Linked DNA regions of Astyanax mexicanus. The protein of the gene in region 1 binds, or shares a complex with, the protein of each later gene. Links are inferred from orthologs where the notes say so. Each region holds a gene or a part of one and is shown in the gene's direction. Other genes may lie near its edges. The genes, in order: camlg and get1.

What was found.
Region 2: camlg (region 1) and get1 share a complex: the UniProt entries of both Homo sapiens proteins name them as parts of the golgi to ER traffic (GET) complex. The link is inferred for Astyanax mexicanus from reciprocal best matches to the Homo sapiens genes CAMLG and GET1.

Annotation. Positions count from the first base shown.
Region 1 is NC_064424.1:33,510,094-33,522,903, reverse strand, and holds the start of camlg (calcium signal-modulating cyclophilin ligand), read left to right. Parts: upstream 1-7,331; 5' UTR 7,332-7,510; coding exon 7,511-7,649; intron 7,650-8,621; coding exon 8,622-9,073; intron 9,074-9,706; coding exon 9,707-9,772; intron 9,773-10,447; coding exon 10,448-10,639; 3' UTR 10,640-12,810. Other genes in the region: arylsulfatase B, read right to left, coding at 1-62, 2,552-2,742, 3,862-4,048, 6,255-6,515. UniProt on the Homo sapiens protein: Required for the post-translational delivery of tail-anchored (TA) proteins to the endoplasmic reticulum.
Region 2 is NC_064411.1:24,683,752-24,696,824, forward strand, and holds the start of get1 (guided entry of tail-anchored proteins factor 1), read left to right. Parts: upstream 1-7,581; 5' UTR 7,582-7,637; coding exon 7,638-7,727; intron 7,728-8,120; exon of another isoform or gene 8,121-8,254; intron 8,255-8,808; exon of another isoform or gene 8,809-8,890; intron 8,891-13,073. UniProt on the Homo sapiens protein: Required for the post-translational delivery of tail-anchored (TA) proteins to the endoplasmic reticulum (ER).

The DNA of each region.
Region 1 (12,810 bases):
TAGCGCTTAGGCACTTGCAGAGGAGCATGAACCGCCTGCAGAGCCACATAGAGAAAGAGGGGCTGCGAAAACACAAAAAACAAACATCTTAGTGATTCAACTTAAATAACCCACCCATGAATCTGGATCCATTCCTTTAATGGTGCAGTGGTTATGTTCAAGTGCTTCACAAGATACCTATAAAACAGAATGGTCTGGCTCCCCTTAAATAACATATTGGTTATGTTTAGGCACATCACATAGTTAACAATGAGACTGAACTGTCCATTCCATTTTAAATGGTGCAGTTATTACATTTTGGCACCCCCAAAGAATAAACTGTAATGCTGAATCATAAATTCCACCATAAATGGTGCAGCGGTTAGGCATCACCTTAAAGTATAAAATGGTAACATTTCAGTACCTTACAAAATAACTGTGACAATAAATGGTCCATTCTACCTTAAAAGGTGCAGCAATTAAATATAGGCATCTTATGGTGTTGAAGGTGAATGGTTCATTCCATCTTAAACGGTCAAGCAGTTACACTCAGGCAACATTTAAGGTGGAATGAATCACTTTTACTAAGAATTCAACCAACAGCTACACCATTTAAGATGGACGTGAATATTTAAATGCACAGCCAATATAAGCCGTATTAGTCAACTTTCCACCTTGGGTCCATTCCCTCTCAAATTATGCATTAGTTACATTTAAGTGTCTTAATATTTAACTATGAGACAGAATGGTCTGTTCCACCTTAAATAATGTATTGGCTACAATAAGACACACATTGTTAACAATGCGGCTGATTGGACTATTCCACCTTACATTATGCATTAGTAACATTCAGGCAGCTCACATTGTTAACTATGATACTGAATGGTCTATTCCACCGTAAGTGATCCAGCAGATAAATTCAGGCAACATTAAGGTGGAATGGGCCTTTTTCAATAGAAATTTAACAAATAGCAACACAATTTAAGGTGGATTGGACCATTTAATTCCAACCCATTAAAGCCTTATAAGTCAACTATAACAGCCAACTATAACAACTATAATGTTGGAACATTGCTGTGAACTAAAATTGACTGTAAGGAGATTACAACAAGCTAAAAGACCGGTTTTAACTGCAGATGGTTAATGCTGACCACAGTCACAACCACTCTCAAGTTGTGCACTAAAACGGTCTATTTCCCAATTCTGAGAAGATGTTTCCCCACCTATTTTGGGACTTGTTAGATACAGTAGCCTAGCCTGTCTGCTTTAGTGCTAATATGACATTATAAGTGGGTTTTAATGCTTTTGTTGAAGTCTAAGCCTAAATTATTATCTATAAGTACAGTAGCTATGTAGCTCCAGTAAAAACTGAAGCATATTTGTGTGCTATAAGCTTAGATATTTGTTGCTAGCTAAATTAGCTACATAGAACTGGTGCCGTTCAAATACTTGCTACATCGAAATTAGCCAGTGCTAATGTAACCAGATAACTGAGGCTCATAAGTTATATAAAACTTTAGGCTCATATTTCCAGTACTGGTTCCATCAGTCAATTATTTAAGTAATAATTACTAAATGCTAGGTATATGCTAGATAATAGGTATTTGCTAGTTTTAAATATTTGTCACAGTAAAAGCTCTAAATATCCTTTATAGCTATAGCTACATTAGCCCTATAGCAGCCAAAGTGGCATTTACAAGTGGGGTACTCAGGATGTAAGCTGATACACAAGTTTACAAGATGTGTGTGTTGTTTTTGATTGCTCAAGGGAAGGATTTATTTACCAGAGAGAAAACTAGTAAATACAGATTCACTCCATTTTGCCTGTTGGAAGATCAATTCACAAAGCATGGAGAACTGTACAATATTCCAAAACAATGACATTGTCTACAAACACTGTGAAATATCCAAATAAATAAATTACTGTATATTATATATATTATATATTATATTATAATATTACTATAAGGAGCACCGTCAGAGCGCCTTTTAATCGAGTAAAGCCTCTCCACTTAAATACAGCGTTATAAGGGTGATTTTTCAGTAAAGTTTCTCCAGGCTGGAACAGTAAAAGCATTAGCCAATAACTGGCTGATAGGGCCCGGACTTACCATAACACTCAGGGTCTCTCAGTGTAGCACTGTCGAGCACTGCTGAACACAGCCTCTAAATACGGTAATATTATTCTGCTAAGTGTTAAAGTGAAATTACATAAAATATAATGAAAAAACAAAGAGAAAAATCTCACTGGTAAATAATGTTTCAATGCAATTATGATTTAAAAACAATCTCAAATAAAGCATTATATGCCAATGATCTATTTTGCCTTTTTTAACTCTTAAGTTAAGTTAAGTAACTCTTAAGCTTAGGTTTTTAACCATGTATTTATTATTATTACAATGTAACCTTCTGCTAATTTATATTAATTTACTGTTAGTATTGTTTTTGATATTTTAAAGATTTTGGTTTGTGGCGCAACTTTTTACTTTAGCCTTGTAGTTAACTGGGGCACATATGTGGATTATAAGGTGGGATATAAAGTCCCATTACATTCTCAGCAGTGCTAGCCTACCTGGTTGGGTTTGTGCTGCTGAATAATGCTGGTTGCTCTCTGAGTGAAGAGCTCGGTAGAGAAGGAGCCATTGTAACCCTTAGCAACCTGCTCCCCATCCCTCAGATCCAGGGCACAGCGAGTGACATTCAGTGGAGTGATGTAAGAGCATCGCTGATGGGTGAAATAATCCTCAGAACCGGTTAGGTATCCTGTAAGTCAAAAAGGAGAAGCAAAGAATCAAATTTACATAATTTCACAAAGTACTATCAGTCAGGACAAGTGTGAGTTTTATACAGGATCTTAGAAGAGAAAGCTAACAAGTAAAGGTAGCGTATGCCTAAAGTTGCAAACTTTAGAAGATGTACCAAGCCCAATTACATATGGTGCAATGGGGCTTGTACACACACACACTCTTTCCACTTGCAGTAGGTATTTTCCCCATGTCACTTTCTATTTCTGTAAACGTCCTTGTTTAGATGCAAACTGATCTTTTAGGAAAGTCTGTTCACTCTGCAGCCATTATCTTCATGCCTACTAGACCAGCCATCCATCTTTTTAAATAGGTAGAGAATGATATACTGAAATCTGTCTCAATGATGCACATGCATATCCTGGCTACTGCGCTTGTGCAGATCTCCACATTGAGAGGGGGATCTCCTTCTAGAATGCTGACCCTCCCTTGATCATAGTTTAAGCAGCATGCTGATGGGCTTATACCTAAACCATAAACAGACCCAATGATGAGCATAGAGAGAAATTTATATTTTTATGGAGTGGCAAATCAACTGAGGGAGAGAAGCAGTAGGATTTATTTAAATAAAAAAGCCTTTATACGTTTAACAGGATGATTCTGTATTACACTATCTATGCAGTTAACATGGTGCTATCATTACACACTTGTGTTAAATGGATATACTTTTATTTTACAGTTATTAGCAGGTTTATTCAGATACTTAATGGGTACTATTCCCCTTAATGTGAAATGGACAATGTAAATAGGAACATGGCGAATCAGAAGATAACTTAAATTCTATGTCACTTCAAACCATGTTGAAAGATCTCGAACAGGTGCATGTGATTTTTGACTCTGTATGTACAAACCTGGACGAAACTACAGACTATATTCAGAATTAAAGCTGTCGTTAGCTGTATTAGCAATGCATCTCTGGTACAGCACTAAACTTTAGACAACATACCATTACATACTCTAGAGCCAACCAAAATGCATGACAGGAGTGATGCCCAGTCTCCAGTAGCACCGTAAAAGTGTCACAGTACTGTAAGTTTTGGCTTAGAAGTGGATAATAATATCATCAACATCCACCCACCGAAGTAGGAGTCGAAACCACGCCGTGTGGGCAGGCACTCTTTTCTGTACATGCCCAAATGCCATTTGCCCACCATGTGGGTGGAGTAACCTGCCTCCTTCATCAGCTGTGGCAGCAGCTTCTCCTCCAGAGGGACGCAGTACGGCTGGCACGGCCAGATTATCTGGTGCTGCATCCCTGTGTGAATCTGAAACAGCAGAACAGTGAAATAATAGGAGTATTTACAGTATAGCAGTAATAGCAATTATACAGAAACAGTAGTAACAGTAGTATTAGAAGCAGTAATAGCAATTGTACTACTGTACTAATGGTAGTAGTAGCAGTAATAATGGCAGCAGTAATGGTAGCATAAGCAGAAAGATAAGATAAGATAAGTAAACAGGGGATAATGCACATAATCCTTACTAGGGTTTCAAAATATTGGAAAAAAATAACATTGCGATATTTTGTGGTTCTTACTGATATATATATATAAAAAAGAAAATACAGGTTTTTCATAATATTCATAATATAAGAGAATCTGTGTGTCAATGATTGGAGTAAAATAAATGCCATAAGATAAATACAGTAGTTAATCTGGCACCTACTGTCGTGCAAGATGAGAACAGTGTGAAAAAAAAAATCCTTGACAAATCCTTGCACATCTTGCAGTGAGACTGTTGCACATGTGTACATTGCGATATCAATGCCGAAGCAATATATTGTGCAGCCCAAACCCTTACTCTTGCAGAGCAGTACACAGTAAACAGTTATATTGCATATAGTAGACGGTTGTATTCAACATGACTTTACAGTAGAGACAGTAAAGTTTGGTCTGCAGAGTGAGAGAGATGTAGTTTCACACCAGGAAGTTGTGTCAGGGCAGTTGTTTTTTGCTTTATCCAAGCGAGTGTATATTTATCTATAATTCAGCTGTTTGAGGTGGATTTCCAATATATTTGTGAAAGAATCTGAATTAGGCTAACACAAGGCTAATTTAAGCTTTTGACTATGAACATGTTTGTTGGGATGTATATAGACATTACTTCCGTAGGTGTTATAGTAATACATGTAAGAGTAGTGACAGCAGTAGATGTTATAGAATTACTTGTAAGAGTAGTGACAGCAGTAGCAGTTAAAGTAATACTTGTAGTAGTGACAGTAGTAACTAGCTGTTGTAGTTATTAGAGCAATACAGCAGCAGTAGCAGCACTGACAGTGGTTGTAGTACCTGTTACATTATTACTGTTACAGCAGCAGTTGCTGTAGTAGCTGTTACAGCAGCAGTAGCAGCATTAACAGTAACTACCTACAGTAGCTGTTACAGTAATGCAGCAGCAGTAGCAGCACTGACAGTAGCTAAAGCAGCTGTTACAGCACCAGTAGCAGCACTGACAGTAGCTGTAGTAGCTGTTACAGCAGCAGTAGCAGCACTGACAGCAGCTGTAGCAGCTGTTACAGCAGCAGTAGAAGCACTGACAGCAGCTGTAGCAGCTGTTACAGCAGCAGTAGCAGCACTGACATTAGCTGTAGTAGCTGTTACAGCAGCACTAGCAGCACTGACAGCAGCTGTAGCAGCTGTTACAGCAACAGTAGCAGCACTGACAGTAGCTGTAGTAGCTGTTACAGCAGCAGTAGCAGCACTGACAGCAGCTGTTACAGCAGCAGTAGCAGCACTGACAGTAGCTGTAGTAGCTGTTACAGCAGCAGTAGCAGCACTGACAGCAGCTGTAGCAGCTGTTACAGCAGCAGTAGCAGCACTGACAGTAGCTGTAGTAGCTGTTACAGCAGCAGTAGCAGCACTGACATTAGCTGTAGTAGCTGTTACAGCAGCACTAGCAGCACTGACAGCAGCTGTAGCAGCTGTTACAGCAACAGTAGCAGCACTGACAGTAGCTGTAGTAGCTGTTACAGCAGCAGTAGCAGCACTGACAGCAGCTGTTACAGCAGCAGTAGCAGCACTGACAGCAGCTGTAGCAGCTGTTACAGCAGCAGTAGAAGCACTGGCAGCAGCTGTAGCAGCTGTTACAGCAGCAGTAGCAGCACTGACATTAGCTGTAGTAGCTGTTACAGCAGCACTAGCAGCACTGACAGCAGCTGTAGCAGCTGTTACAGCAACAGTAGCAGCACTGACAGTAGCTGTAGTAGCTGTTACAGCAGCAGTAGCAGCACTGACAGCAGCTGTTACAGCAGCAGTAGCAGCACTGACAGTAGCTGTAGTAGCTGTTACAGCAGCAGTAGCAGCACTGACAGCAGCTGTAGCAGATGTTACAGCAGCACTAGAAGCACTGACAGCAGCTGTAGCAGCTGTTACAGCAGCAGTAGCAGCACTGACAGTAGCTGTAGTAGCTGTTACAGCAGCAGTCGCAGCACTGACAGCAGCTGTGGGTTCAGTGTGTGTACTGCAGTCTTACCTGGTACCTGCCGGTCATTAGTTGGTTCCTGGACGGGGTGCAGAGCGGCTGGACATAATACCCGTCCAGCCGGACCCCCGCTGCAGCCAGCCGGTCCAGTTCCGGGGTCCGGATCTCAGAGCCGCGAAAACCCACATCATTCCAGCCCAGATCATCCGCAAGTACGAAGACCACGTGCGGAGGAGAACCAGCTCCCCTACACACACTCACACACACACTCACACACACTATCAGGGTCTTTACCCAAACCTGCACCATCATACCCCTCTACACTCAGCACCAACACACACTCACTACTTCCTCATACTGTCCCGCGCACAGTCTGCTCATCTCTCTCACTCGCACTCTCTCTCTCTCACACACACACTCACAAGCGGACGGTTGGGGAAGTGTCTATAAAAGTACAACAAGTCTGCCCCTTCACTACATTACCCACAATCCTACGCTTACTTACAGGCTGATCACTCGACTCTGCTTGCTTTACACTGTATAAATACAAATACAAATACAAATACAAATACAAATAATAATAATAATAATAATAATAATAATAATAATAATAATAATAATAATAATAATAATAATAAGTATTAAATATTAAACATAATAATAAATATACTAATAATAATAATAATACATATTAAATATTAAACATAATAATAATAATAATACATATTAAATATTAAACATAATAATAATAGCACGTTTCACAGCGTTTTTATAATTTTTTTTATAAAATTACTGCAACTGCAACTGTTAAATTTGTTTACTACATTGTATATAAAATAATTTTATTATATTAATTATATTATAGAAAATCTACCATCAAACTCTACTGGTTTTGCTCTTTTCTAGATTATCTTCTTTTTCTTTTGTTAAACAACTTTTATCTTGATGTGTATTTCTTTACAGTGCATCTGTGCATTAAATATTCCATATAATTAACGAAATTTACTTTATATTTTTTTATTTTACTTGAATCTCTCTACTTAGTTCGTGTTTTTTTAATTCGGTGATTTAATCACCTTTTCGCCTTTTTTATTTTGAGTTCATTTTTTCACTAAGAGGACTTTTATTGTAGCTGTGCCGCCATTGCGCTGAGGGCCTGCAGTAGTGTGGTGTTTGTGTGCGCGCAGAGGATCCCGGAGCAAGGAAGCGGAGCGAGGATAAGGCAGTTAAACACAGGATTATTAAAGCCCCCGGAGAGAATCGGACCACCGGGAGCCGTAGGAGCGATTGGAGCGGGCAGAGAGGGGATGGAGGCCGGGGACGAGGCGAGCGGCCGCAGCGCAGCTCAGCGCCGGGCGGAGAGCAGGCGGAGGAGGCTGCTGCAGAACTCCGAGCAGAGGATGAACAGAATAGTGGGCTTCGGGAAGGGCGACGCGGATAGCAGCGGTCAGCACATTCATACAGAGAGCACATTTACACCCTAAACCAGTTAATGAACCGGGGAGGCCTGCTTATTCCTCAGGTAGTTACTGGGATTTACCGGTCTGCCTTACATGGTGCAGAAGGTAACTAACCCTGCTCCATTCAGGCGCCCCAGTTACTCTATCTCATAATGAGGAGTCAAATTCAGCTTAATCCCATTCAGCGCTTAGGGCTGGGCGATATGGCCGTGAAATAATATCACGATATTTCAGGGTGTTTTTGCAGTAATTCTTTTAAATACATTTCAAGAGTATACTTCTGCAACAAAATACATATAAATGTTTTATTTAGTACAAATTTATTCAGCTGAAACAAAATCTATAAATGTCTATTTTCTAGACAGTAGTTTACCAAGACTGTAGTGTTACAAAATTAAAAAAGGTAACAGAAATAATGTAATATAAACACAAACATCTACCACAGAACTTAAGTCCAGCTTAGTTAGTGCCTACATATAAACTGCAAACTATTAATAGAACAGTAAATGGCAAAACATAAAAAAATGATTGTGTATGACAAAATATAGCACACCCCTACTACACACTGTCCATTCCAACAGTATAGGAATATCCTTACTAAGGAGTGAATTGTGTTTTTTTTAAGGTGCACATATTGTTTTTGCCTTCTTGTGTTTGTTATAAACAACAAAACAACGTCTGTGAACACAAAGGAGTTTTCTAGGCTGTGGTTCTTTATGGACATGAAAGCTGTTCACACTTGAAAGTAACAATAATTATTTAGAATAAAATTAAGTTATTTTAGTATTTTTATTATTTTTTATTATAATAAAAAATAATAATACTTCTAATAACACTAATAACACTTTCTAATACTTTTTATACTAATAATACTTTAATACTAATAATACTTTCTAACACTTTTTTTTTTTTTCTAATAACACTTTCAACTGTTTCCCTTTCTCCGTCTTTCACATAGAAGCCCGACACACGATGGAGCCTCGCTTCCACCTAGACCTGGACCCAAATGATGCCTGGACGCCACCGGTGTCTTCTAAGCGCCTCTCTCCATACATCTCTGAGACGGGTGGCAGCAAAAACACAACCCCCAGCAGCACCCCTGAAAGGCGGGGCTCTCCCCTGCCGGACAGCAGAGAGGACCTGGGGGAGGATGACCTGTCCCGTGGGGTGCGACAGCGGCCACGGGGAGAGCTGTCCAGTGATGAGCACTCGCGCTCTCCTCGAAGGGGCCTGCAGAAGTACCTGTCCCGCTTTGACGACGCAATGAAGCTGCGGGGTCAGCTAGCGAACGAGAAGGCGGCACAGGACAGCAGCTCTGACCCGGAGGAGCTTGACCCCTTCCGTCTCTTCCGGCTCACCGGGAGTGTCCTTTTAGCTGTCTTTGTACGCATCTTCGTCTGCCAGTACTTGGTGAGTTGATGTTCTGAAAGAAATGCAGTTTGTTGTCAAAATGTGGAATTGTTTTAAAACTAGAGGAGGGGCGTGTGGTGTTTTTTTTAAACAGAACTTACAGAATCGATTCACTTTTTCAAAGTACTCAATAACCTTGGAGCTACCTGCTGGATTAAACACAAACACAGTTTCAATATTGATGTTTTAAAAAAAAAAAAAAAAAAAAAAAAAGAAAAGAAAATCTTGCTTTGGTTTAGAGGCAACTTTCCCTAATGGGGTAGCCAGTCTAATCCAAAGAGAGCCAAAGTCCTCCCACTGGGCCGAGTTTCGCAGTCAAAGCTATCCTCTATGGATTCGACTGGACACTAAGGCCTCAGATGAAGCTAAAATAGCTTCACAGAACATTAGGTATGCACGTTCCCTAGGTGTTTATAAATCCACTTTGTTTTTAGATTAGAACTGGTTGTATGTATATAGAGTTTAGATTACTCATTATTTTGTATAATTGTATAGTATAATTGTGCTATTATTAATTGTTCTGTTATTCTTTGTGCTATTATTTCATTTAAATCATGATAGCGTATAAACATTAATTGATATTACCATTGTTATTGCTTGTGTTTATGTGATGGTTTACTTTCTTTTTTGCAGTCAATATTTGCACCGTTTCTCACTCTGGAGCTGGCCTACATGGGGTTATACAAGTACTTTCCAAAGGTGCGTCATTACATCACGTTCAGCAATTTAAAGCAGTTTAAAGCTGATCTATCTAATCTCTGTATTACTCCAGGCTCAACGTACAAAAAAATCACAATGTAACTTGGGCTTTCTTGTCCAGAAATGCATTTGTAAACCCTGTCCAGTAAAAGTGACTTAAAAATCACTTTCCAACAAAAGCAGGGAATACCAATCTTCATCTCCACCCACTACACGTAGACTGTGCATTATAAACAGTCACACAGTACCCAATAACACTCACGCACTCAAATCACTCAATAAAAAAAATCTATTCAAACACCAATTATTTATTAGTGTCAAAAATTTACGGTTACATTTTATGTGTTTCTGTTGCGTTGTTCACAGCAATGTAATTTGGCCTCCTCCACACATCTGGATATTTTTTAAAACAGTTCGTCTGCCTCTCATCCACAAAAAAAATCATTTTGTGTTAACGTCTCTCTTTATGAGGGATGTTTACCCATACAGGCTAGCATGCTTATTCATGCTTATTCAAGTGTTATTCAAAGCAGACATTGAGGAAAGCGGCTGACAAACAGATATGTAGCCATAAAATGTATACAAGTGGGCAGAGGTTTGTGTTTATCAAATATTTTGGTTCTAATTTAAGTGGTTATTTAATATTTGTGATTTTTCTGTTTCTTTCTCTCTCAGGTGGAGAAAAAGTCAAAGACCACTGTCCTCACTGCTGCCCTCCTGCTGTCCGGCATTCCGGCTGAGGTCATTAACCATTCCATGGACACTTATCGGAAAATGGGCGACGTGTTTGCCGACCTCTGCGTGTATTTCTTCACCTTTATCATGTGTCACGAGCTCATCCTCTTGTTCGGGTCTGAGTCATCGTGATGGGTGGAGCATCGTTACAGTATGAAGGGCTGAATGCTGCCTGACCCTTTTACTTGTGCCGCTTTGTGAGCAGTTTTAGACCTTTCTCCTAAACCAACCCAGCGGCCTCTGAGCTTCAGAGCAGACCAGTGGGAGAAAATAATTTATTCTGAGCTGTAAAAATCTGTTTAACTTCAGCTGACGACACTAAGCTGGTTACCACACTGGTCAATAGCCGGTCACCAGCTCTGCTCCTAGAGAGTTCACTCTAACCCCTGATCCAGTCTGACCCAGACCCACACAGGTCCCCCTGTGTGTACGGGATCAGGAGCAAAGTTGGTGACTGCTGGTCAGCAGTTTATGCAACAGACATCTCATTCATAAAGCTTCTTTGAGCAGGAGAGCTGATCTGGGATCTGTCCCCCTGCTCATTTAGGCTATCTAGGCTGAGACTGAAATGGATCCCTATCTGAGATTTGTGGCACACTATTGAGTACTTTAACTATTTACTTTAAAAAGTGGAACGCTGGTAAGAATGGCGAATCATGCTACTTACAGCAGTCAGAGTCAGAGAGAGCATAGCTGGTGATGGTTTCTCTAAGGGTTGGTTGATGGCATTTTATCCTCTCATCAATTCCAGTGTGGTATCCGTGTTAACTGCCTGCATTGGGGGTAGTGACTGACTTTACAAGTATCTGAGGAGGCATGTACTGGTCCTCATGCTCCTAGTGTTGTGGGCATAACTAGTGATGGGGGAGTTCATATGAATGGGAATTAGATAATAGGAAAATTTGATATTTGAAATGAAAAGTGGAATTTCAGAGCAACCTGTTTATTATTAGTGAACAACAGGGATCACCACAGCAGCTGTGGCCAACAGTGGCCCCAGAGTAACAAAAAATAAAACTATAAACACAACAGCTTCAAATATAGTAGCTAGAACTGGCTGGGATTGCTGCTAACACTGGGAATGCTAGTAAACCCAGCACATGCTTGTGAGTACTGCTGAACCCTGTGAATTTTGCTAATGTTCAAAATGCTGCCAAAATCCCCAAGCACCGAGGAACACTAGTGAACCTGATAAACTAAGCAATCACTGGCGAACACTGCTAATCCTTGTTAACGCTGCAAATGCTGCAGAACCCTGTGAATGCTGGTGAAACCAGAATGTTCTTTCCAACAAAAATGTACCTGGCAATTGATGGTGAACCCACTGTTCGTGGATGAATCTGACAAATGCTAGTGAACCCAACAAACACTAGTAAATCCTCCTAATGATGTGCAGGCTAATGATGAAAATGTGTTATTGAACTGAACACTTTCTCCTGTAGAGACCAACTCAAATAAAGAAGTAGGGATCAATTTCAGCAATGGTCACTACCTAGGTAAAACCTTACTTCGAAGTCTGCTTCCACCTTCTTTCTGAGACACACTCCAGCTAATCGACTGCTCTGGTAGTTCTTGATTACCTGCCCAAGTGCTGCACAGTGTGGTTTTGGGTATGGTCGGTGTGAAGATATTTCTTTCTTCAATTCTTTGTGAATAAGACCTTGATTTTTTTTTACATTTTCAAATGCGTCATATACAGCAGCCCATCTCCTGAAAACAGTTTGATTTGAAAAAATAGTTTGTGGTTTCACACATGAAATTCCATTATCCCACTTATTTAGTCTCCACCTTTTTAGCTCCGCCTATTGAACCTAAAGAATTTTAGCTTCACCAATTAAAGGTCAATTTATACTTCTGCGTCAAGTCTATGCGTTGTTTAAAGTGTAGCTTGCGTAAGAGCCAGCTGTGCGCGTTTATACATATGTTTGCACGTGACCACATCTCTGCATCACTCAGCAGTATTAACCGTGGAGGCGGGAATGTTTGGGTGGCTCAGTGGACCAATTAGAGCTGCTGTTGCCCATTGCATGATGCGCGTAGTTACATTTAGCCCCACTTAGTCACCCTACAAATAGAGTGGCCCTACCAATACATTTTTCAGCAGTTTTGCCTTGCTCATTCAGGAACAGCATGTTTAGCCCCACCCATTCACTCTACAAGCATTTTAGCCCTACCAATTCAGTTTACATAAGTTTAGCTCCACCCTTTTAGCATTCAACAGTTAAACTCCACCTATTGAGCTTACAGCATTTTAGTTCAATTCATTCATCTTACAGCACCTTGGTCCTGCTCATTCAGCCAAA
Region 2 (13,073 bases), on another chromosome or scaffold:
ATTGACAGATCCAACAATCCCAACACATTTTTTTAAGGTTAACGTAGTTTAAATTTCTGCTAAATTTCCTTCGGGATCAATAAAGTATCTCTCTCTCTCTGCTCACAGTAGCCTAACTGGAGGTCCGTAATCCTGATCCAGAAAGTAAAAATCCATCCCGGGATCTATCTTCGTGCACGGTTCAGTGTAGCTGAGCTGCAGCAGAGCCGCACAGAGAGTTCGAACAAAATCCTGGGATGGATTTTTGCGTCCTGGATCAGAAGTACCTGATCCTTCTAATTCTAGTAATGTTTTCAATCCCAAAAACACTATGAAACTTCGCGTGCTTTGATTTGGGGTGGAGGAGCGAAGAAATCAAGTCAGACAGTATCCACCTGCAGCCCACGTGAACAATGGCGGGTCTCATCACATGAGTGTTATTAAATTGAGATAAAAAAGTATTCACAAAACATACTGGCATGTTACAGATATACTGTGAAGAACTAAATGAAAAAATGGAATTATGGGATTAGATTGTGCATTATTCAAAAGTCTGTTCTTCAGACACAGAAAAGTACACTTTCAGACGAATTTTCAGATAAATCACACATAACACAATAGCTTTAGAACATCGTTTTGTTATAGCAGACCAGCTTTTCTGTTCTTTTTCTTGGAAATAAATAAAATATCATGCTTATGTACACAGTTTTAATGTTTTAGCGCATTTCACAACAGAAAATAATAGAAGGAAAGAAAAGTAGATCTCGGTGTAATAGCTATATAATGCTTTTAAAGATAATTAATAAGAGCAGTTCAAAACGCTTTACGGTGTAAAAAAAACAGAGCTCCGACAAGCTCAGGAGCTCGGATCTGCAGTGAATTACTTTGGACTAAGTCTCTTCTAGCCTTTCAAGAGCATTGGCTGAAAAGAGTTTAAAATTATTCAAGTACGTCTCGCTGCAGCCTGTAGGAAGGCGGAGTTGGACACCCAACTCCGCCCACATCCAACCCCGCCCACATGTGCTCTTGTACGCCAACCCCCCTAATTTTTTGTTCAAGAAGCACTGTGTGCCACGTGAAATACGCATATAACGCCGATGTTGCGCTAAATTTACGCATATCTTGTGAGTAGTTCCACCACGTAGCCTTGGCTACAGCACTACACATGCTGTAGTGTAATGCACAGATATCACAAAAAATAGGCTATATATACAGTACCAGCCAAAAGTTTGGAAACACTTTCTCATTCATTTTTGGTTTAACATTGTAAACAAAGTAATACATAAGGAATCATGTGAACTTAAAAGTGTATGATTTTATTGTTTTTCTTATATGGCATGCTGCTAACTTGTGGTTTATGAGGCTGGTAACTCATTCTGTGTAACAGAGGGAACTCTTGCTCTTCTTTTTCATCACGTGTGCCATTTCTCCTTGATTTTATACAATAAGCAAATAATTGCATACAACGATTTGCTGTTTCCAAAAGATCAATTGCCTCTGTCCTGTATATCACAATACATTATACATTAATCTGTCCCACTCACCAGCAGAGTAAGCCATTATTTCACTGCATTAATCCTTACATTTAAATTTGTTAAACTAGTTGCCAGAGTGTGTAGATTTTATAAATTTATTTTAGACTGGTAAATATCTCCAGAATTATTGATTAGCTATCATAGGAATCATTATTTACTTATTATATAAAGTTAAAACTTACGATATACAGTTTTTGGTTATGTTCCATATGAAATAAAGAGCACATTATCAATCATGGCTTTGCACTGATAGAGGCTGGTCAAAGGGTGCATCTGATTATTAAAGTGTTTGATTGTTAGATCACACCTGTTCTCTGTACTGTAATGCTCTATACTTCATATTACAGATAGACAGTGCTTCTTATCACTAGTGATGGGCAGATGAAACCTCATTGGGTGTATGGCACATTTCCCAAACTGTATCGACACTGTGTTGAAACTGTGTTGCTGTATCACTTAATGGCGACATCTGCTGGACTAAGAAAGTCATTGCAAGAAACTGCGCGAGGAAATGCATCGGTCACGTGGTTTTCCTTAAAAGGATACGCGGTCTGACACAGGGGATCGCCTTGTTTGCTCGGTGCATGCGCTGAGGTTCCAGTGTCGTCAGACCCATCGCTACCAAACGATACAGGAAGTGTATCGGTCACGTGGTTTTCCTTAACTTGATACGCGCACCGACACGGGGTTTCGCCTTGACAGCTCGGCGCATGTGTCGAGGTTTCAGGGTCATTAGACCCATCACTACTTATCACCACTCAGCAGGGGGGAGGCTATTTGTGTCATAGGCATAGCTAATATATAATAATGATATTAGAAGTAATTCTGCATCTTCACTGTCAACAGGGTGCTGAAAATATTACAGATGAGAATGACACAGCTGCACTGTATAGCATACAATTTAGGACCACCACAGAGTGGCTTGTTGGTTATTCACAACACTACAGTGACACTGACATAGTGGTGTTAAGAGCTGTGTTGGTATGAGTGGATCCGACAAAGTAGTGCCTCTGGAGAATTTAAACACCTCATTGTCACTACTGGACAGGAAATGCTCCATCAACCAGCATCATGTGGGCAGCGTCCTGTATTCAGCATCAAGTAGGCAGCATCCCATGGGCACTGATGAAGAATTTGCAGATTTGCAACAAACTGTGCAGCAACAGATTTAAAGATTCTGTCTCTGACTTTTCACTCACAATGTAAAGCAGCTGTTGGTAGAAGTGTCTAATAGAGTGAACAGTGTTTTATACCTATTGTATATTATACACCAGTAAACCATTATGCAACTAAAGTGTCCTAGATGCTAATTGGAGCTAAAAAAAAAGAACAATAGAAGCAGAAACAAGCAGGTGGTAATAATGGTATGCTGGATAGTGTACAGTGAGTCCAAGAAGTATTTGATCCCTTGCTGATTTTCTTCGTTGGCCCACTAATAAAGACATGATCATTCTATACTTTTAATGGTAGATGTATTCTTACATGGAGAGACAGAATATTAAAAAGAAAATCCAGAAAATAAATCTAAGGAATATATATTAATTGATTTGTATTTCATGGAGTGAAATAAGTATTTGATCCCTTAGTATTCATTAGCAGTTCTGGCTTTTACAGACCAGTTAGACACTCCCAATCAACTTGTTACCTGACCTGAAGCCACCTGTTCTCACTAATCACTTGTGTGAAAAACACCTGTCCACAGAATCAGACAGATCACACAGATTTCAAGTCTCCAACATGGGTAAAACCAAAGAGCTGTCACAGGACCTCAGAGTCAGAATTGTTGACCTTCACAAAGCTGGAATGGGCTACAAAAAGATTAGTAAGGTGTTGGATGTGAAAGTAACAACTATTGGTGCAATTATCAGAAAGTTTAAAGAGTATAACATGACAATCAACAGACCTCGGCCCGGTGCTCCAAAGAAGATTTCGCCTCGTGGGGTGGCAATGATGCTGAGAACGGTCAGAAATCGTCCTGCAACCACTCGGCAGGAGTTAGCAAATGACCTGAAGGCAGCTGGGACCACAGTTTGCAAGGAAACAATTGGCAACACTTTGCGCAACAATGGATTCACATCCTGCAGTGCCCGAAAGGTACCCCTGCTGAAGAGAGCACATGTGGAGGCGCGCCTCAAGTATGCCAATGATCATTTGAAAGATGAACCAAGTTATTGGGAGAAGGTTTTGTGGTCAGACGAGACCAAAATTGAACTTTTTGGCCTCAACTCCACCCGCCATGTGTGGAGGAAGAAAAATGCTGCCTATGACCCCAAGAACACTGTGCCCACCGTCAAGCATGGAGGTGGAAGCATAATGTTTTGGGGGTGTTTCTCTGCCAAGGGTACAGGGCTACTTCACCGCATCACTGGGAAGATGGATGGAGCCATGTACCGCACAATCCTGAGGGACAACCTCCTCCCCTCTGCCAGGGATCTGAAAATGGGCCGTGGTTGGGTCTTCCAACATGATAACGACCCTAAACATACAGCAAAGGCAACAAAGGATTGGCTCAAGAAAAATCACATTAAGGTCATGGAGTGGCCCAGCCAGTCGCCAGACCTCAATCCGATCGAAAATCTATGGAGGGAGCTGAAGGTCAGAGTTGCCAAGCGACAGCCCACCAACCTTCATGATTTAGAGAGGATCTGCAAAGAAGAGTGGGCCAAAATTCCCCCTGGTGTGTGTGCTAAACTTGTGGTTAACTACAACAAACGTCTCACCGCTGTGCTTGCAAAAAAAGGCTTTGCCACTAAGTATTGAGTGTGTTTGGCAAGAGGGATCAAATACTTATTTTCCTCATTGAAATACAAATTAATTAAAATATATTCTTTAAAATTATATTCTGGATTTTTGTCTTGATATTCTGTCTCTCCATGTTAGAATATATCTACCATTAAAAGTGCAGAAGGATAGTGTCTTTATTAGTGGGCAAACAGAAAATCAGCAAGGGATCAAATACTTCTTGGACTCACTGTATAACGATAGAGTACAATATATCAAATGCTGTGGTTTCAGAAATTAAAATATCATATGTATACAAAGCTATTTTGTCAATAATAATAATAATAATAATAATAATAATAATGATATCCCTCTCCTGCTTCTCCTCTCCCAATTTTGTATGGCTGACAGTAGTTCCCAGGGAAATTAACTCCATTTACAAACACTTTGTCCAAGCTAATACAATATCTTTATTGGCATTTATTGGCACACTAGCCTTTAAAATGTTTGGTTACATGCTTTGGTCAAACAAATACAGAAGTCTTTATTTAAAAATGCAACACCCAGCCACTCACACACCCAGCCACTCACACACCCAGCCACTCACACACCCAGCCACTCACACACCCAGCCACTCACACACCCAGCCACTCACACACCCAGCCACTCACACACCCAGCCACTCACACACCCAGCCACTCACACACCCAGCCACTCACACACCCAGCCACTCACACACCCAGCCACTCACACACCCAGCCACTCACACACCCAGCCACTCATGAAGCTGGCTGCAGAATCCAGGGTGCTCGTTTTCGCTGTAAAATGCCACAAGCTCCCCTCGTCTCCCATGCCCAACGTACCCTGTAATATAAGTAAAAGCACACACTTTCACAAAGTAACAATCTCTCAAGCCCCAATACCTTAAATATATTGACTTACCAATTTCTGACCTCAGGAAAAAATTATAAAAATTTATTTAGAACAAACATACCCAGTATGTAGTCTTTATAAGTTTCTTGACAGTTCTGGCAGCACTGCAGTTCGTACATCCTGCGAAACTCGTCTTTACATGCAGCACTGTGATGTTTTCATGGCACTACACCTGTAGGTTTAAAAAAATCAAGAATTTTAAAATGATTTCAAAATCAGTAAGTGTAATTCCTTTTCTAAGGGAAAACAAACATCTTAACTGTACTGAAATATCAGTACAAAGGTAATAAATGTGCATCGACTTAACCCTCCTGTTACGTTACGGGTCAAATTGATCCATTTAGTAAGATAGTAAAAGTATTTTTTTCTGTATGAAACGTCTTCAGCTTGCCTTTATTTGTATAATTAACATATAACATGAAAATGGTTAATTTCATATTTGCAACAACCCCCTGCAAAAACTAAAACTAAAACGAAATTGTAATGTTATGTTTCATTTATATGTAAAAATATTGTGTTGGTCGTTTAAAAGTAACAAAGTAGTAAAACAAAAAAAAAAGTAAGATTTTTTAAAATGGAAAAACAAGTGAATTATACTAATTGAACTATTGCCTCTATTGTACACTATTGTACTAAATGTTGATAGAACAATCAGCAATGGAGTTAGTTATTAAATATTTACTCTTCTGGTTAGGATTGTTTTGGTTTCAGAAATATTTTGGATAATTAAAAATGAACCAGGTCAAATTAACCCGGGAATACCATTGCTATTCCTGACAAATTAAATAGGAGGATTAAGCATTGATATCTTCAAATATTTATTTGTATGACTAAGACTTTGAACCAATTTTAGTTAGCTAGATTATCTTGCTATCTTGTTAGCCAATTAACTTCTTGTATAGACAGTTTAAACAGTTTTTTAGGTTAGCTGACTATAACCCCTATGCCTTAAAAACAAAACTGATGCCTAGCTCACTACTAGCTATGAGAGTTTATCTGTGATACCATTCATTGGTAGCATTTTAGCCCATAAAACAGAAGGTAAGATAACTAAAGTTTGAATTAGACAAGACTGGGTGCAATTCTGCATTAGAATCCATAAAAAAAAAACGGCAATATGACTAGCTAGAAGCAAACAAACCACATGGTACACGCGCCGAGGTAGAACCTTCATGTGCGTATCAACGACTCACCGTTTATTCATAAAATATAATATAGAAAAACAAGAGGACATTATAAAAATAGCTCTGTTAACTTAAAAAATAACTCAATATTTGTACTTACCGCCATAACCGGAGATATAAATCAGATAGATGATTTAGCTGCTTTCTCGGCTACAATTCCTGTTTACCGGGAGTAAATGTAGGCGTTCGTGACGGACGTAAGGTGGGTGTTGCTTTAGACGTAAGGCGGAGTTGGACATGGGCGGAGTTGGATGTGGGCGGGGTTGGATGTCCAACTCCGCCTTCCTACAGGCTGCAGCGAGCGGCTCCTCAAATTATTGGCTTTTAAAACCGGCAGGTGGAGCTCTTTGTCTTATTATTAAACGTCACTTTTTACGGCGCCAAGAGAGGAACTAAAACGCCGCTTTATTTGCACTGAGACGGCGCTTTGTACGACGCGCCAATAGGGTCTTTTTGTGCTTTTGTTGCCAGATTGTTACAGTGAGATTCAGATAAAATCATGTCACTGAGTAAACTGGGTGACTGGGTGAAAAACACTGGGTGTTTCCGCCCAAATGCTAAAAAAACCGGACAAACAGCTGATGTTCAGCATATCAACAGTATTACAGGTTTTAGTACAACATGATCTTAATAAAATAAAATACCCAGATAGCAAGCATACGTTGGCTCAACGTTGGCTCAACGTCATTGTTTACGTTGGCATGACAAGGCCTTGTCTTAAATATCACAAATATATATTTAAATGATTTTATCTGCATGTGTGTTAAATATGTGTGCAGGTTTACAACCTGCAAGTGTTCGTGTTAAGCAGTTTACAATACGAACTGTCTGCTTCAATATATTATTTTTTTATCCATTTAAATACATGTAATTAATTTATTGACCTCTGACACGTCCCCAACTGGGAAATTCGGGCATTATCTAAAATCCGAGTTCCCCATTAATACGAGTTTGTGGTGGCGTCCATGTGCTCTCTATCTCGTAGCACGATATTTCCGACACGACTTCAGCCCTTTCACACAGTTCAGCCCTTCAGCTGTTCATGTTTAAGCGAGCAGAGTGAGCGCATGATAATAATGAGGGAGTGTCCGAATTCATTCCTGTGTTTTACTACTTCGCAACTTAGTGAACTGTCTCCCTCTATTGAGGTACACATGAGGGAGTGGGGAGCCATTTTGGCCACACCCTGTACGTTTAAATCATAAGTCCGATTCATTACAACGAACCGGCTCATCCGAAGCGAATCGGTTCACGAATCGGGTGAAGTAGTTCATAAACAAACAAAATGGATTCCACGTACAACTGGCTCGTGGTGCTTAGCTCTGTGTTTCTGTGTAATCTCGTTAAAACATTCCTGCCGTCTATTTCCTCCTTTGTAAGTTTACGGTTTGTCTATTTCCTCTTTTGTATATCCCTCATAAGTACAGGGTTCTTACAGAACAGATAGTGCTGACTGAGCGGAGTATTGTGAATATACTGCTGTGGTGCATCAGCGTTCTTTCACAGCTTCATTCAGGAGCAGCGCTGATCAAATCCAGCAGCTGCCCCAGTCTGATAGAGATAATTCCTGTTGTTGTTGTTATGTAAGTTTATGCTTTCTGTTAGCCGATACATGATACTAAAGAAGGAATTAGTTAAAAACCTGATATAAAGGGTAATTTGCTCGACGAGATTGAATTTTACACACTGCTTTCAATATATCAGCATGTAAATCTTTCGAGGTTTTAAAAGTTAACTTAGTTTATAAGTTCAAATCCTGTTCATGTAGCTTGCCATCAGCTGCAGGAGCCCTGAAAAATCGAGAAGTGTATAGCTGCAGCCTGGAGCACCTCCAAAGGGGAGGAACATACCTCCAAACAGGCGGAGCCTACATCCAAGTAGGCTGGTGCTTGGTGTTACGCGGTATGGTGTTTTTCACGACGTTTTGTGCTTGTAAATAACCCCAAAGGTTAATTAATTAATCAATTTCGTTTATTAAATGTTTATTTCTTTTAAAATGCATTTTCTAAGAGTCTAAAAGCATGTTGTGCACATTGCAACCACATTTTATTTATTTAAAACGTTTAAACATTTGCCATGCTGTGAATTTTTCAAATTATAAAATAGTAAAGATCTAAATAATAAAGGCAGTTGTTTATTCATAGCCAATAATATTATAAATACATCCACACTGCACGTATTTTATTATATTGACATTTAAGAAATATAAATAATCATTAATTGTTGACTAATATATTTATTGACATCCATGAGCCTTTTAACCACGGAGGACTTTTTTGTGGCGTTTGGCAGAGAAATGGAGCTGTGCTGAGTGAGGTCTCCCTGCCTTACGATGTAGACTTTTATATAGTATAATATAATATAATGTGATAGTACATTCTATATAACATTTACTTTGATGTAATAGAATAATAGTAATAATAATAATCACGGAAGACTTTTTTTTATGACATTAGCCGGAGCCGTGGTGAGAGAGGTCTCGCGCACAAACGCTCCCAGTCTCCAGCCCTATACTGTTGGTGGACTTCCCACTTGGAGGTAAGCCCCTCCCCTTTGGAGCTGTGGACCTCCCATTTGGAGGTAAGCCCCTCCTTTTTGGAGGTGCTGCAGTCTGCAGCAATACATACTTGGAAAAATCACTATTCGCCTTGCTCTCTCTGGGTGGGTAGATGGCGCTCTTTTCTCCTCATCACTCCTTGAGGGATGTTGATCAGCACAGGGCATCTCTGAGCTGATGTATCAGAACCGAGTCGCTGCACTTTCCTCCGAGTGCGCTGTGATGCTACTCCTCAGTGGAAAAGAGGCGAAATCTGACTTCACATTTGTCAGAGGAAGCATGTGTTAGTCTTTCCCCTTCTGGTGTTGGGGCAACACTAGTGAAAGTGTCCTAATGAGTGGGTTGGGTAATTGGCCTTGTAAATTGAGAGAAAATAGAAAATAAATTGGGATAAAAAATTATATAAAAAAAGTTGGAATAATGTTTAATTAATATATAATTACAGCACTGTGGCTCAGTGGGTAGCGCTGTCGCCTCACAGCAAGGGTTCGATTCCTGGCTGGGGTAGCCCATGTCTTTCTGTGTGGATTTTGCACATTCTCCCGTGTCTGTATAGGTTTCCTCCCACAGTCCAAAAACAACATGTCCAGGCCAATTGGGTTTTGGTTGAAATTGCCCCCTAGGTGTGAGTGAATGTATCAGTGTGTCTGTCTGTGTCTAACTGCCCTGCAATGTATTGGCTAGAATATCAGAAGAGCTTCCACCCCAAGTTCTATGGTACAAAGTTTGAAAAGGTTGCCACTGGCTATTTAAACTGTTATTATTAATGCATGAACATTCATTGAAACTTTGGGCAACTAAAGACTTTTTCTCAATTTTAAAAAGAATGATAAAAATGTTTTGAAAAAGTAGCTACTAAAAGCATGCTAAACTCCTATAAAAAAAAAAAAAAAAAAATAAATATATATATATATATATATATATATAATATATATTTTTTTTTTTTGCATTTTGCATTTTATATATATAATTGCAGACACTATTAACCTGATATATTTCATGGTTTGTCTGGTAAACTTTCATTCATTTTATTTAATTCATTAAAACATTCATTTCTGCATTTCAGGCAACATAAGGCTGGAAAAGTAAGCAACACTAATAATCAATGCAATGGGAGCAAGGCTGTCTGTCAGTATTTGATTCTGGTGATCTTCTGCATTAAAACAGGCTTGAATTGTACTGGAAATTACTGCATGGCCAAACATCTTTGTCTGTGAACACAGTGCAGTCCACAAAGGAAGGTTAAAGCTGGATGATGCAGGAAAAAGCCATTTGTCAGCTTGCCTGTTTTAATGCAGTGCACCCTGTGTGTCCAGCTTTCAACAATGACCTTAAGCCATGGAAGATTCTACTATTGCAGAAATATATTTTTATTTTCATTTACATTTTCCATACTGTCTCAACTTTTTCTGAGCTATACAGTGGTTAGAAAATTCTCTATTTTTGCAAGAATCTGACCTAAATATTTATCTAAGAGACCTAAATAGATGGAATAAAATTTGGAGATGCACCAAAGTAATAATGTGGTCACAATTTCTATATGGAGAATGCAAATGGCAATGTGCTCCTTTTTCTTTTCAGTCCAGACATGAGTGATTACTGAAATTGTAAGGATTTAAATCAAAGACCTAGTCAGAGAGCACTAGCACAAAGCCAGCATTTGGTTTTAAGAAACAGATGGAGGAAACTGAAATCCAAAAATAGAGTAATAATGTATGCCAAAGCATTTTGATTACATTAGTCGCTGTAAGACAAATTAAAAAACAAAATAATAACCAGGAGGGCTATCAGCATGGTACGCTAGGGGTGTCATGATTCTCTAAATCCTCGATTCGATTTTATTTCGATTTAAGGGTCACGATTCGATTCGATTTTCTTTTTTCTTTTTTTAACAGCAGGGAGGCCTATGGCAGTTTTAGATTAGTGATCTGTAACACTCCACAATAGGCACTACTGGTCAAATTAAAATAATTTAATTAAGATATATATGTAATGCCAGCTAGTGTTTTTTTTTGTAGCAGCAGTGTGCACTATTAAAACAGCAACATAAAATAAATAATAAAAAAATACAGTGTGCTGCGCTATTTGCGTAGCGCGTGTGCGCTTGCGTACCTTAGAGAGAGGGATCGTTGATCATCTTTTTGACTTCGATGCTCGAGACCGGGACATAATTTTGCTCGATTTCAATAAAATAACGAAATCGTGACACCCCTATGGTATGCTCACAGTCATGTTCATTCAGGTCACACACAGAGTAGAGGATCAGACAGCACAGTGGTGATGGACACCGTCTCAAGCAGCACAGTAGCGGTGCCCGAAATTTCACACAATCAGCAGAGCTTCAGGCAGCACAGTGGTGGTGAACGTAGTCACACACAAAGCAGAGGATCAGGCAGCACAGTGGTGGTGAACGTAGTCACACACAAAGCAGAGGATCAGGCAGCACAGTGGTGGTGAACGTAGTCACACACTCAGCAGAGGATCAGGCAGCACAGTGGTGGTGAACGTAGTCACACACAGCAGAGGATCAGGCAGAACAGTGGTGGTGAATGTAGTCACACACAGCAGAGGATCAGGCAGCACAGTGGTGGTGAATGTAGTCACACACAGCAGAGGATCAGGCAGCACAGTGGTGGTGAATGTAGTCACACACAGCAGAGGATCAGGCAGCACAGTGGTGGTGAATGTAGTCACACACAGCAGAGGATCAGGCAGCACAGTGGTGGTGAACGTACTCGCACACACAGCAGAGGATCAGGCAGCACAGTGGTGGTGAACGTAGTCACACACTCAGCAGAGGATCAGGCAGCACAGTGGTGGTGAATGTAGTCACACACAGCAGAGGATCAGGCAGCACAGTGGTGGTGAACGTAGTCACACACTCAGCAGAGGATCAGGCAGCACAGTGGTGGTGAATGTAGTCACACACAGCAGAGGATCAGGCAGCACAGTGGTGGTGAATGTAGTCACACACAGCAGAGGATCAGGCAGCACAGTGGTGGTGAATGTAGTCACACTCAGCAGAGGATCAGGCAGCACAGTGGTGGTGAATGTAGTCACACACAGCAGAGGATCAGGCAGCACAGTGGTGGTGAACGTAGTCGCACACACAGCAGAGGATCAGGCAGCACAGTGGTGGTGAACGTAGTCACACACAGAGTAGAGAAACAGGCAGCGCAGGAATGATGGACACCATCTCAGGCAGCACAGGAGAAGAGGATTGGGCAGCACAGTAGGGGATCAGGCAGCACAGTAGGGGATCGGGTAGCACAGTAGAGGATTGGGCAGCACAGTAGAGGATTGGGCAGCACAGTAGAGGATTGGGCAGCACAGTAGAGGATTGGGCAGCACAGTAGAGGATTGGGCAGCACAGTAGAGGATCGGGCAGCACAGTAGAGGATCGGGCAGCACAGTAGAGGATCAGGCAGCACAGCAACAGATCAGGCAGCACAGCAGCAGATCAGGCAACACAGCAGCAGATCAGGCAGCACAGGAGAAGAGGATTGGGCAGCACAGTAGGGGATCTGGCAGCCCATTAGAGGATTGGGCAGTGCAGCACAGTAGAGGATCAGGCAGCACAGCAGCAGATCAGGCAGCAGACTAAAGGTTCAGGCAGCACAGCAGCGGATCAGGCAGCAGACTAGAGATTCAGACAGCACAGTAAAGGGATCAGGCAGCACAGCAGCAGATCAGGCAGCAGACTAAAGGTTCAGGGAGCACAGCAGCAGATCAGGCAGCAGACTAAAGGTTCAGGCAGCACAACAGCAGATCAGGCAGCAGACTAAAGGTTCAGGCAGCACAGCAGCAGATCAGGCAGCAGACTAGAGATTCAGACAGCACAGCAGCAGATCAGGCAGCAGACTAAAGGTTCAGGCAGCACAGCAGCGGATCAGGCAGCACAGCAGCGGATCAGGCAGCACAGCAGAGGATCAGGCAGCACAGCAGAGGATCAGGCAGCACAGCAGAGGATCAGGCAGCACAGCAGAGGATCAGGCAGCACAGCAGAGGATCAGGCAGCACAGAAACGGATCAGGTAGCACAGTAGAGCATCAGGCAGCACAGTAGAGCATCAGGCAGCACAGCAGCAGATGAGGCAGCAGACTAGAGGTACAGACAGCACAGCAGCAGATCAGACAGCATAGTAGAGGATCAGGCAGCACAGTA